3 linked regions of the Callithrix jacchus genome follow. The protein of the gene in region 3 binds, or shares a complex with, the protein of the main gene of each other region. Links are inferred from orthologs where the notes say so. Each region holds a gene or a part of one and is shown on either strand. Other genes may lie near its edges. The genes, in order: POLR2E, GTF2A1 and GTF2F1.

Region 1 (3,738 bases), about 5.0 Mb from region 3:
CTCCAGCCTGAGTAACAAGAGCGAAACGCCATCTCAAAAAAAAAAGAAAAAAAAAAAAAAAAAAAAAAGAGCCTCACCAGGTCCACTAAGCAGACAGGCTCCATCCTCCACACTGATTCTAGGTGCTGGGCTATGCACATAAGGCTTTCTCAGTCCCCCAACCTCGGAGGGCTTTAGAGCCACAATGGGGAGGCAGACAGGTGGGGGAGACTCCACAGAGAAAGTGCTGACACCAAGTGTCCCAGGGGACCCGGGAAAAGAGTCCCCCGCACAATCTTGAGGGACAAAGAGCAGACGCTGACAGGGCGGGGAATGGGCTGGGGCGGGTTAGGGCGGCCAGGGCCGCAGCTCACAAGGAGGCTGCTCTGACCTGGATAGGGCCTCCTAGGCCAGGCCAAGAAGCTGGAAGGGCACCCAGTGGCCAGGATGGGGGAGCTGAGGGACACAAGGTCATGGGGGGCTGGGGTAAGTGGAGAGGCCCACGTGACAATCCTGGTTGGAGGAAATGGTCAGGGAAGAGAGAAGGGGACTGATAAGAGGGAAACTAGAAAGATGCTGCATGAGAGAGATCAGACGTCAACAGCATCACCCCAAACAAGGAAGGGGAGGGGAGCCTTTCCCCCAGACTGGGCAGAGGGACAGGAGCTGGGCAGGAGGCGGATGCTGGCAGCTGGCTCCTCAGCTGGTGCTGCTCACCTGGAAAGAACACAAACATCTGGTCGGTGGGGTCATCGTTGTGTGCCACCAGCACGGTGAGGTCTGTGCGCCGCGGCCGCCCCTCGCTCGGCTTGTCCCCAAACTGGGCTTTGAACTCCTCCAGTGTCTGGTCAAGCTCGTCCTGGGTCACTAAGTAGCCACGGTCATGGCACAGCTGCAGAAAGAAAGAGCCAGGTGGCTGGGTGTGGTGGCTCCCGCCTGTAATCCAAGCACTTTGGAGACCAAGGCGGGCGGATGACCTGAGGTCGGGAGTTCAAGACCAGCATGGTGAAACCCCTTTATTTAAAAAAAAAAAAAAGAGCGAGCCAGCTGACCTCAGGGCAGATGGAGGAAGGGGGCCAGATCTCATGACCCAGAAGTCAGACCTGCAGCTGCTGCAGAGGACAGAAGGCTGAACACTCATTCAGCCTTGGGACAGCCACCCTACCCCCACAGCCACACCACAGGATGGGACCAGTATGATCCTGAGAGGCTTGCAGGGCCCAGCCTCACAGGAACCTGGCAGGGCACAAACCTGGCAACCACACCCAGCCCTCCAAACCACTTTTCAGAGAGACCCTAAAGACAGGGAGGGAAGCCGGGCTCGAAGGCTCAGAACTGTGATCTGAGTGCTAGGGAGGCTGAGGCAGGAAGACTGCTTAAGGCCAGGAATTTGAGGATGCAGCCGGCTATGACTGCAGCACTGCACTGCAGCCTGGAAGGCAGAGAAAAACCCTTGTCTTTTTTTTAGGGGGGGTAAAAAAAAGGGCCGGAGGCGGTGGCTCACGCCTATAATCCCAGCACTTTGGGAGGCCGAGGCGGGTGGATCACGAGGTCAAGAGATCGAGACCATCCTGGTCAACATGGTGAAATCCCGTCTCTACTAAAAATACAAAAAATTAGCTGGGCATGGTGGCGCGCGCCTGTAATCCCAGCTACTCGGGAGGCTGAGGCAGGAGAATTGCTTGAACCCAGGAGGCGGAGGTTGCGGTGAGCCGAGATCGCGCCATTGCACTCCAGCCTGGGTGACAAGAGCGAAACTCCGTCTTAAAAAAAAAAAAAGAGAAAAAGAAAAAAAGACAGGGGGCCGGGTGCTGTGGCTCAGGCCTGTAATCCCAGCACTTTGGGGGGCCAGGCGGTCAGATCATCTGACGTCGGGAGTTGCAGACCAGCCTGGCCAACATGGTGAAACCCCGCCTCTATTCAAAATACAAAAAAATTCAGCCGGGGGTGGTGACAGGTGCCTGCAATCCCAGCTACTCGGGACGCTGAGGCAGGAGAATCGCTTGAACCCGGGACGCGGAGGCTGCAGTGAGCCGACAGCGCGCCCCTGCACTCCGGCCTGGATACGAGAGCAAAACACCGTCTCAAAAAAAAAAAAAAAAAGACAAGGACGGAAACTGAACTACAGGCTCCCAGCGAGGCCCGGAGGAGGGAGAATCCGGCTGCGTGGGCTTCGCTGAGGACAAGGGCAATGGGTGGGGAAGGACGACAAAGCGAAAGCTCTGGAACGGCCCCAAAGGCTGGAGCCGGACTCCGAACCGCGCGGCTTCCAAACCCGACTCAGCCCCGCGGCCTCCGTCTGCCCCAGGCCCCGAGGCACGGCTTCCGGGCTCCACGTCCCCATCTCCCGCCCCAGCTCGGTCGCTGCTGCCCAACCACCAACTCCGCCAACCTCGGATGCGGAGACCCCCGGGGGTCCGGGACGCGGGGACAAAAGGCGCCGCGGAACCACAGAGCGGGGCAGGGTCTGGGGGCGCCCCTTCCTCCTCCTCCTGCCGCCACGCGCGCCGCACCAGGCCCGAGCCGCCCGACCACCCCTAAGCTCCCGCACCCAAACGTCCCGAAATCCCCCTCCCCGCTGCCGGCTCAGGTCGGGCCCAGCGCCTGAGAACCCCGGCGGCCTCGAGGCCTCCCGTCACCGCCCGCCCCTTCATCGCTGCTGCTCCGACGGGACTACGCCAAGAGGCCGAGCTCGACCCCACCTCGTGCCCCTGCACCCACCTCTTGCGCCCCCGGCCCCACCCCACGGTTCTAAACAGCTGCCCGGCGCGCGGCTGACCTGCATGATGGTCTTGCGGATTTTCCAGAGCCGGTACGTCTCCTCCTCGTCGTCCATGGCGGTCGCCACTCGCACCCCCTACGCATGCGCTAGTGACGTCTCGCGCGGACTGCGCCTGCGCCGAACGCCAGTCAGGTCCCCTTCGCTTTACCCCGCCCGGAGCTGGGCTGCCTTCCGCGAAGGCCTGACTGCAGCAACATCTGGGACCGGCAGCGCCAAGGGCAACCCGAGCCTTACGAGCGCGACAGTTGGCTGCACGAGACTCTCGCTCCGCAGTTCTCCCGTGTCTTTGGCCGCTCGGCCTCTCGGGAGTTGTAGTTTCCGTTCAACTCCCACGTTGGGGCAGCGGTTTAGAATCCCACGGAGCGGGGCCGGAGCGTGGGTGGGGAAACTGAGGCCTAGATGGGGCCAAGGGGCAGCTCAGCTCCTAGGGGCGGTCAGCCTAGTGAGAACTGTAAATATTTGTACACCAAAGTCTACAGGGTTCTCTTTGTTGTATCCAGCCCATGTCCCCTTTAGTGCCAGTGAGCTTCAGTTTCCCTACCTGTGCGATGGCAGTGAAGTGTCCCTCGTTTAGACGGATAACTGGGAGGCTCGGGTAGAGCTGGGCATCTCTCTAGAGGAGCCCTCCTGCAGTCCACGAAGTCAAAACTGCGTTGCTCAAAGAGCCTTTGTCTCAGTGCTGATTTTTCTCTGTGGCACCGACCATCTATTTCCAACAGTGGGAAGTAGAAAGGTTCCTTTTTACAGTTTCCTTTCCTGTTAAAGAATAAATCAGGCCGGCCGCGGTGGCTCACGCCTGTCATCCCAGCACTCTGGGAGGCCGAGGAGGGTGGATCACGAGGTCAAGGGATCGAGACCGTCCTGGCCAACATGGTGAAACCCCGTCTCTACTAAAAATACAAAAAAATTAGCTGGGCATGGTGGTGCGTGCCTGTAATCCCAGCTACTCGGGAGGCTGAGGCAGGAGAATTGCCTGA
Region 2 (3,744 bases), on a different chromosome or scaffold from region 3:
TCTAAAAACCTTTTGCTTGGAGATCCAGAGATATATAGGTATAAATTTGCTTTCTTCTGGTACTCCTCTACTTAATGAATCATTCTTTAAGATTTTATTTTTGTGCCTTAATGAACTCACAACTTGATCACTTAACAGCTTCATAAGCACTATAGTTTAAAGAAGGGAAACGTGTATGCTTCACAAAGTATATGCCCAATGAATAATTTAGAATTGTTCACAATTTGAAAAGCACTCAAGACACGAATTTTTGAAAACTATGTGGGCACATAGGCATTATTTGAAATAAGCAATTTATAAACTAGTACCTAAAATTCTTCACTCTATTGAGTCAAAGTTTCCGTTTCTCACGAAATAGTTTAGGTTTGTCCTGATTTTTAAAAAGACAGGTATTTCAAACTTGAAAACTGGTTTATCAGAGGGCCACTAGTGGCATTATTAAGTGATTTCTTAGGAGGTTTCCTTCAAAAATGTTAATTCCCTGATGCAATGCTGAAAAATAAATTGAAATAATTTTTATACTGGATACTGTGTTAATAATATCCAAGGCGATAAAGTTCTACTTAACAGTTTTTTAAAATCCAGTTTGCACTAAGTCTCTTCCCTCTAATTACTCACGATTCCCCTACACATAAATGGTCCTATTCTGAAGCTTCAGGCACTTATCTATTTCTCTGAAAGGCCTCGTGTCTTTTAGATTTACTATAGAAAAACATAATGAAATATTAGGAGCTGTATTTCTAACCTGTTTCCTGAATATTTGAACAAAATACAACAAAAACCAAGTCCTCTGCAGCTAACACTTTGTAGAAAGCAGTTTTTTTAATTCCTGAAAATAATGCACACAGGAAAATCACTAGACTATCTGATCAAAAATTCTTTGTTTTCATATTTTGAAAATTGTAAATAAAAACGGACAGCGATTCGGATATATTTCCCCTAACAAACAAAAGAAGGTAATTCCTAGCTGCTGCTAGGAACAAAACAAAAACTTGGGGCTCTGAAAGCAGCCCCCGACAGGCGCGAAATTACAGCGTGAAAAAAGGACCTACAAATAAACTGAGCTCCGCACGCGCCTGGCTCTCGCCTCGGGAGCACGCACCTCCCAGCCCCGCTCTCAGCAGCTCTCACTATTTAAAGCCGGATCTGGTGTTTAAATGGAGAGGCGGTGACGTAGGCCTGAAAAGCACCTACCCATCCTGGCAGAGTCTATATTAGAGAGCGGCAATGGCTCTATATAAACAGGGCAGCCAAAGGGAGGAGGACCACAAAGCTCAGGGACTGAAAAGCAGGGTAAGCGGCCGCAGCCATGATGGATCGACCCGAGTCGCCAACGGTACGGTGTCGGGCGGCCGCGGGCTAGTCTGCGGCATTTGGGACCGGGCAAAAACGTGTTTTATTGTCATATAAAAATAAGAGTTGGGGGGACTAGTGATCACATTGCGTTGGTGACTGAAAAGGTTATTTATGTGACTGCTTTTTGCAAACCTACGTGATCGCAAATAACCAAAAAGGGACCAACGGGAAGAAGTAGGCAAATTTCAAGGCGAAAGCAGGGACACTTGGACCACTGTAGGCTTTTTTTGTTTGTTTTGGTGCTTTTGCTAGTCGAAGATACGATGGGGGGGGGGTTGCTTCCCCTTCGCCATTTTACCCATTCGGAAGGAACTGAGATAAGTGCTTTTCAAACAACCTTAGTCCTTTTTTTAAACATAAAATGGCCCCAGTGAAGGTTCCCAAAGCACAACTGCCAGGAAAAAACCTAAGTAACCCCCAAAAGTAGCCATTAATCCTCCACTGCATTAAAGTGGATCACGGTGGGTCTCAGGGGTTCGCCCGATTCCCCAGACACGGTTTTTGTTCTTAAGCCGCTCGGGGAGCCATCGTCTAGCCAGCGCGGACGGGCCCCTCGGGGGGAAGCGGCGGCTCCCCTCACGCCCTCCCTCCCGGGGGCCGGGTTCTGGGGCCGGGGCTGCGCGCCCGCCCGGGCCCAACCGCCTCCGCGGCCCGACCCGGCCCGCGGCGGCCCCAGGCCCCGCCGGCGCCCCCGCCCTCCCCGAGCCGCGAGCCCTCGGCGCCCCCCCGCGCCCGCCGCCCGCCGCCCCGGCCCGATCCGCCCGAGGCGGGAAGCGGCGGCGGCAGCGGCGGCGGCCGCGCGGGCGGCTGAAGAGTCGAGGCCGGGAGTCGCCGCCGTCCCCGCCCCCGCCCGGTCCGGCCGTTGCTGCCGCCTGAACGAAGCCCCCGCCGGCCACCGAACCACGTCCTTACCACGGTGTTTGTATTTGCCGAGTTCGCCATTTCCACACACAACACAAACAAGAGGGGGCAACCCCAAGAAAACAAGATAAAAACAAAACCAAAAAAAAAAAATACTAAAACACCCGAGGGTGACCCAAGTCACCGCAAGATTGGGGAAAAAAACTTAAACAAAATCAATCCTGAAGGAGTAGGGGAGAGCGGAGAGGAGGAGGAGGAGGAGGAGGGGGGCACTCCTCCCGCAGCTAAAAACCTCGAGAATCGTCTTTTTAAAAAAAAATCCACGACCCTTAAGGGGTCCGGGGGCGTTGCCCGCTCCCCACCCCGCGCCAAGGAGGGAAACCACCACCGGTCACCGCTCCCTGCGCCGCCGCTGCTGCCACCGGCTGCAGCTCCAGCCGTCCGGTCCGCTCGCTTCTCTCCTTTATATAGCGAGCCAACAAGCTGCGCGAACCGCCGCCGCCGCCGCCGCCGCTGAGAGACAGGGTGATGGGGGAGGGAGGGGTGGAAAGGGCGGGGGCAGAGGTGGGCGGGGCTGAGCGCGAGACACCGCGAGAGCCGCGTGCGCAGGCGCGTCGGGGCGGAGGCCGCCGCGAGCCGCGTCGTCACGCGCGGTGGGGGTGCTCGACTGGCGGAGCTTGGGTAGTGAAGTAGTGAAGTCGGACCTACGCCTCTCCAACTCTCGCGTGATCACGTGGTTGGCACCCAGGCGGAAGTCTGCCGCAGTTCTTTGCGGTGAAGTACTTGCAAAGCGTTTCTGGAAAAGGCGCGAGTTCTAGTGACATTCCAGTCCAAAGCTAGGTGGGACCGCCTCCTGTCGCACGTTTCCGCCCGGTCCCGCGCTGGAGGAGCTAGGAAATGAGACAAGCGGTAGCGACTGCCTCGCTAGGAATGGCCGCGGAGAACTGGTCACGTGGTGCGGCTTCCGGCCTCTGGCGGGTTCCGATTCGGGACGGTTTTAAATGCGGAGTCATCTCTTGATTTGTCAGCGAGGCTTTGACTGTGAGCCTCGGAGCGTTCGCTCCTCGCCGAGGGTGGGTCTTTCGCGGGCAGAATTATGTAGAATTTCCCAATGGGAGTAAAAGCCGATTGGGGCCCACTTTCACATTCCAGAGTTACTAACCTCTGACTTGGTTTGTTTCCACACTGGGTCCGCTACGAAGACCAGGCTTACTTAGGTTACCCAGAGATTAGTTCCCTACTAGCCCACGTACTTTAAATAATTTGTCACGGTGGTGGAAATGCGGTGCGGGGAGTAGGGGAGACAACCCCACCAGCCTTTGGATTATAACAGCACAATAACTTTCCCTGGTTTTAAAAAATACTGCCAAAATCCCACTACTCCGCATGGCCAACGTGTAGTGACTGATCACATTGAAACACATGCCCTTGACCCAAATCGCTTGGCCTCTAGTTATAAGAGAGCACGGCGGCTGTGCCCGTGTCTTGAAGTGCAATCCAATAAGCTTTTGACCTCCTCTGTCCAAA
Region 3 (3,645 bases):
GGCAGGAGAATTGCTTGAACCCAGGAGGCAGAGGTTGCAGTGAGCACAGATCACACCACTTCACTCTAGCCTGGGCAACAGAGCAAGACTCCATCTCAAAAAAATAAAGAAAGAAAATAAAGCGACCGGGCGCGGTGGCTCAAGCCTGTAATCCCAGCACTTTGGGAGGCCGAGGCGGGTGGATCACGAGGTCAAGAGATTGAGACCATCCTGGTCAACATGGTGAAACCCCGTCTCTACTAAAAATGCAAAAAATTAGCTGGGCACGGTGGCACGTGCCTGTAATCCCAGCTACTCATGAGGCTGAGGCAGGAGAATTGCCTGAACCCAGGAGGCGGAGGTTGCGGTGAGCCGAGATCGCGCTGCACTCCAGCCTGGGTAACAAGAGCAAAACTCCGTCTCAAAAAAAAAAAGAAAAAAAGAAAGAAAGAAAATAAAAAGGTCAGGCACAGTGGCTCACACCTGTAATCCCAGCACTTTCAGAGGCCAAGGTGGGTGGATCACCTGAGGTCAGGAGTTCGAGACCAGTCTGACCAACATGGTGTAACCCCATCTCTACCAAAAATACAAAAATTAGGTGGGAGTGGGGGTGGGCACCTGTAATCCCAGCTACATGAGAGACTAAGGCAAGAGAATGGCTTGAACCTGGGAGTTGAAGGTTGCAGTGAGCTGAGGTCGTGCCATTGCACTCCATCCTGGGCAACAAAAGTGAAACACCATCACAAAAAAATAAATTTAAATAAATAAAAAGAAATTCATTGTGCCAAACTTGTTGACAGTAAGACACCAAAATCTCTAAAATGTAACCATTAATCATGACCTATGTGGCCAATAAGGTCCCAATTACCCTTAAGCTCTTGCTTCAAGGTCCATATGTACCATTTCCAAAACACTCTAGAATCCAGCCACATCTCATCACCTTCACGGCCTCCACATCCCCAGGCCAGGACTCACCTAGACCAGTCAGCCCAGTTGCTTCCACCCTGTTCTCCCTTTATCCGCCCTCAAACCCACAGTTTGCCTCCCCACAGCAGCCAGATCACAATACAACTTCCCCGTGGAGGATGCTTTAATGGCTCCCACAGTCCTTTCTAGAGCCTCTGATGGCAGGGGCTCTGGGGAAGGCCCTAGCCCAGTCCCCTCCCTCAGCCAGATAAACCTTGGCAAAAATGGCCATCAGTGGGCACAACTTCTAAATGTTCTCCATTAAGGAATGGCCTCCTGTGGTCCTACTAAACGTAACTTACAGGGACACCCAGGAGCTTGGCCTGGGCCTTTGCCATCTTTTTTTTTTTTTTTTTTTTTTTTTGAGACAGGTCTTACTCTGTCACCAGGCTGGAGTGCAGTAGTGTAATCATAGCTCACTGCAGCCTTCAACTCCTGGGGTCAAGTGATCCTCCTACCTCAGCCTCCTGTGCAGGACTACAGATGCACACTACCACATCCAGCTAATTATTTTATTTTTGGTAGAGATAGGGTCTTGCTATATTGCCCAGGCTGGTCTTGAACTCCTGGCCTTAGGCAAGCCTCCTGCCTTGGCCTCCCAAGTGCTAAGATTACAGGTACAAACTACTGCACCCAACTCTTTGTCATCTACCTTATCTCCACTTGGGAAAAGTGAGAAAATTAAGACTTAGTTACTATGACAGCTAAGCAACTATTACAACCACCAAGGTCAGGGTCAGGTTCTCTCACCACCCCAGCCCCCGACCCCCAGGACCCAGGGACTTACCTGATTCCACGTGGCAAAGTTGACTTTATCAGCTGCATTAAAAGCCATGATGTTATATTTTTTGGTTGTATTCCTAGAGTGGATTAGAAGAGATAGAGCCAATCCAATACATCAATTCAATTCAATCATTAATTTAATCAATCAATGTGAACACATCATTAATTCAATCAAATCATTAATTCGATCGTTCCATTCAACTGAACCATTAATTCAAGCATTCCATTCCACTGAATCATTAATTCAGTCACTCAACAAACCCACCCTGGTTCATTCAGTCTGTTTTGCCTGTCAACACTGGATACGGAAGACTGCAGGAATCCCAGTCTGCCAGAGAAGCTAGACCCCATCCCCTCTTAACTGCGTGCAGACGAAGAACAAATGGAGGAACAAAGATTGGGAGAAACCCAAGATGTGGAGATTATTGGGAACTCAGCCTTGGGGAGGAGGGAGGTCAGTCAGGGAGTGCTTCCTGGAGGAAGATGATACTGGAGCTGAGTTTTGCAGAATCAACAAGAATTCACCCAACAGAGTCACCGTTTGGGGGCTGAGGGGAGGCACTCATGGCAGAGGGAACGGGATGTACAAAGGCCTGGAAAGGAAAGGCAGCCTGCTCGCTTTGAAAGAGGACGAGACAGCCTGGGCATCATATGCTCTCGAACGTTAGGCCAGGAGGCTGAATCGTGCTGTGTATTAATGCACTCATTCATACAAAAAGCAGTGTTTGCCTCCAGAGAAGCCTCAGCTTAATCGCAGCCCTGCCCTCCAAGTCCCCCGGTCTGGAGGGAGAACCACAGACAGGGCCAGAAACGTCAGGCTAAGAGGACCGTAAAGGTTTTCACTTTTGCGGGGTGGAGAGGAGTGGGAGATGGGGTAGGGGATTTACTTCGGAACTCGAACGACGTATTCAGTGACATTCTGGCTGCTGGGGCCCTGCGGAAAGAGGAAGCGGACGGTGAGTAAGGTGCCGCCGAGGTCGCCGCCGGGACCCCCGAACCCCGCCAAATCCACACTCACTAGGGCCGCCATGGGCAATGGTCAGTGGTTCCGTGGTCCGACCCGGGTTCCTTTCTTCTCCTCTGGCTAGCGCGTCCCTCGATCTCGGGGAAGCCGCCGTTCCTTGTCGGGTCTCTGTTCCGGTCCCCGTGTGAGGATTCCTACCCTAGGCGCCTCTGGCACTGGGAAAGGGTAACCGGAAGAGGCGTTCAGGTTATTCCGTCTACGCCTCCGCGGCCGCCTAACCCGGAAGCTAAACCCTCCAGCGGCCGCGTCGCGATGGCAACCTTCTAAGCGGCTGTGGCTACCTCAATGCGCCGTCACTTATGTTCCTCGGCGTCTATGGCCACCTCAAAAGAGCCACCCCTGCCCCTTTTCAGACGCAACAAGGCCGAGTCTGAGATCAAATAACCGGCCTTGGTCGCTGATGCTCCTATGTACAGTGCGGTCATCAAATGTGGGACCGCCCTCCTTCGTGACGTCAGCACCCAAGGACCGCAGGGCATCCTGGGTGGGAAGAAGGAAGCTAGTCCTCCTTGCGGGCTCCCAGGCGCTTTGCGCATGCGTCATGCCGCTCGGGACTTTGGGGCTTGGAAGGCCGCGTCACCATAGCAACTGAGGCCTACTCGGGTCCAGTCGAACTGCCGCTTGGCTCCCTATGGGCCTGTTTGGGGTTCGTTTCCTCTACCTGCCCAGAAGGGGTGGACCCCGTCATTCCCGCAAAATGACCGGAGCGGGGACCCTTGTGACGTTGAGCCGAGCCAGGAGGGGTCAGAGCCTGCCCGGAATCGGGGCGCGACCACCCCAAGGGCTGCTGGCGGGATGGGTCTCTGCAAGTCCAAGCTGCCCCAAATGGGCAGGGCTCTGAGGCCCCCGGAGAAGAGTAACGTCGTGGGGGTGGCTGGCTGGCTTACTGGGGG

Evidence for each region.
Region 1: GTF2F1 (region 3) and POLR2E share a complex: the UniProt entries of both Homo sapiens proteins name them as parts of the TBP-based Pol II pre-initiation complex. The link is inferred for Callithrix jacchus from reciprocal best matches to the Homo sapiens genes GTF2F1 and POLR2E.
Region 2: GTF2F1 (region 3) and GTF2A1 share a complex: the UniProt entries of both Homo sapiens proteins name them as parts of the TBP-based Pol II pre-initiation complex. The link is inferred for Callithrix jacchus from reciprocal best matches to the Homo sapiens genes GTF2F1 and GTF2A1.

Annotation. Positions count from the first base shown.
Region 1 is NC_133523.1:1,037,396-1,041,133, forward strand, and holds the start of POLR2E (DNA-directed RNA polymerases I, II, and III subunit RPABC1), read right to left. Parts: upstream 2,841-3,738; 5' UTR 2,816-2,840; coding exon 2,759-2,815; intron 872-2,758; coding exon 697-871; intron 1-696. Other genes in the region: uncharacterized protein LOC144580922, read right to left, coding at 2,906-3,156, 3,303-3,467. UniProt on the Homo sapiens protein: DNA-dependent RNA polymerase catalyzes the transcription of DNA into RNA using the four ribonucleoside triphosphates as substrates.
Region 2 is NC_133509.1:116,182,332-116,186,075, forward strand, and holds the start of GTF2A1 (transcription initiation factor IIA subunit 1), read right to left. Parts: upstream 2,740-3,744; 5' UTR 2,299-2,739; coding exon 2,269-2,298; intron 1,337-2,268; exon of another isoform or gene 1,263-1,336; intron 493-1,262; exon of another isoform or gene 309-492; intron 1-308. UniProt on the Homo sapiens protein: TFIIA is a component of the transcription machinery of RNA polymerase II and plays an important role in transcriptional activation. TFIIA in a complex with TBP mediates transcriptional activity.
Region 3 is NC_133523.1:6,031,091-6,034,735, forward strand, and holds the start of GTF2F1 (general transcription factor IIF subunit 1), read right to left. Parts: upstream 2,913-3,645; 5' UTR 2,759-2,912; coding exon 2,747-2,758; intron 2,663-2,746; coding exon 2,616-2,662; intron 1,806-2,615; coding exon 1,733-1,805; intron 1-1,732. UniProt on the Homo sapiens protein: TFIIF is a general transcription initiation factor that binds to RNA polymerase II and helps to recruit it to the initiation complex in collaboration with TFIIB. It promotes transcription elongation.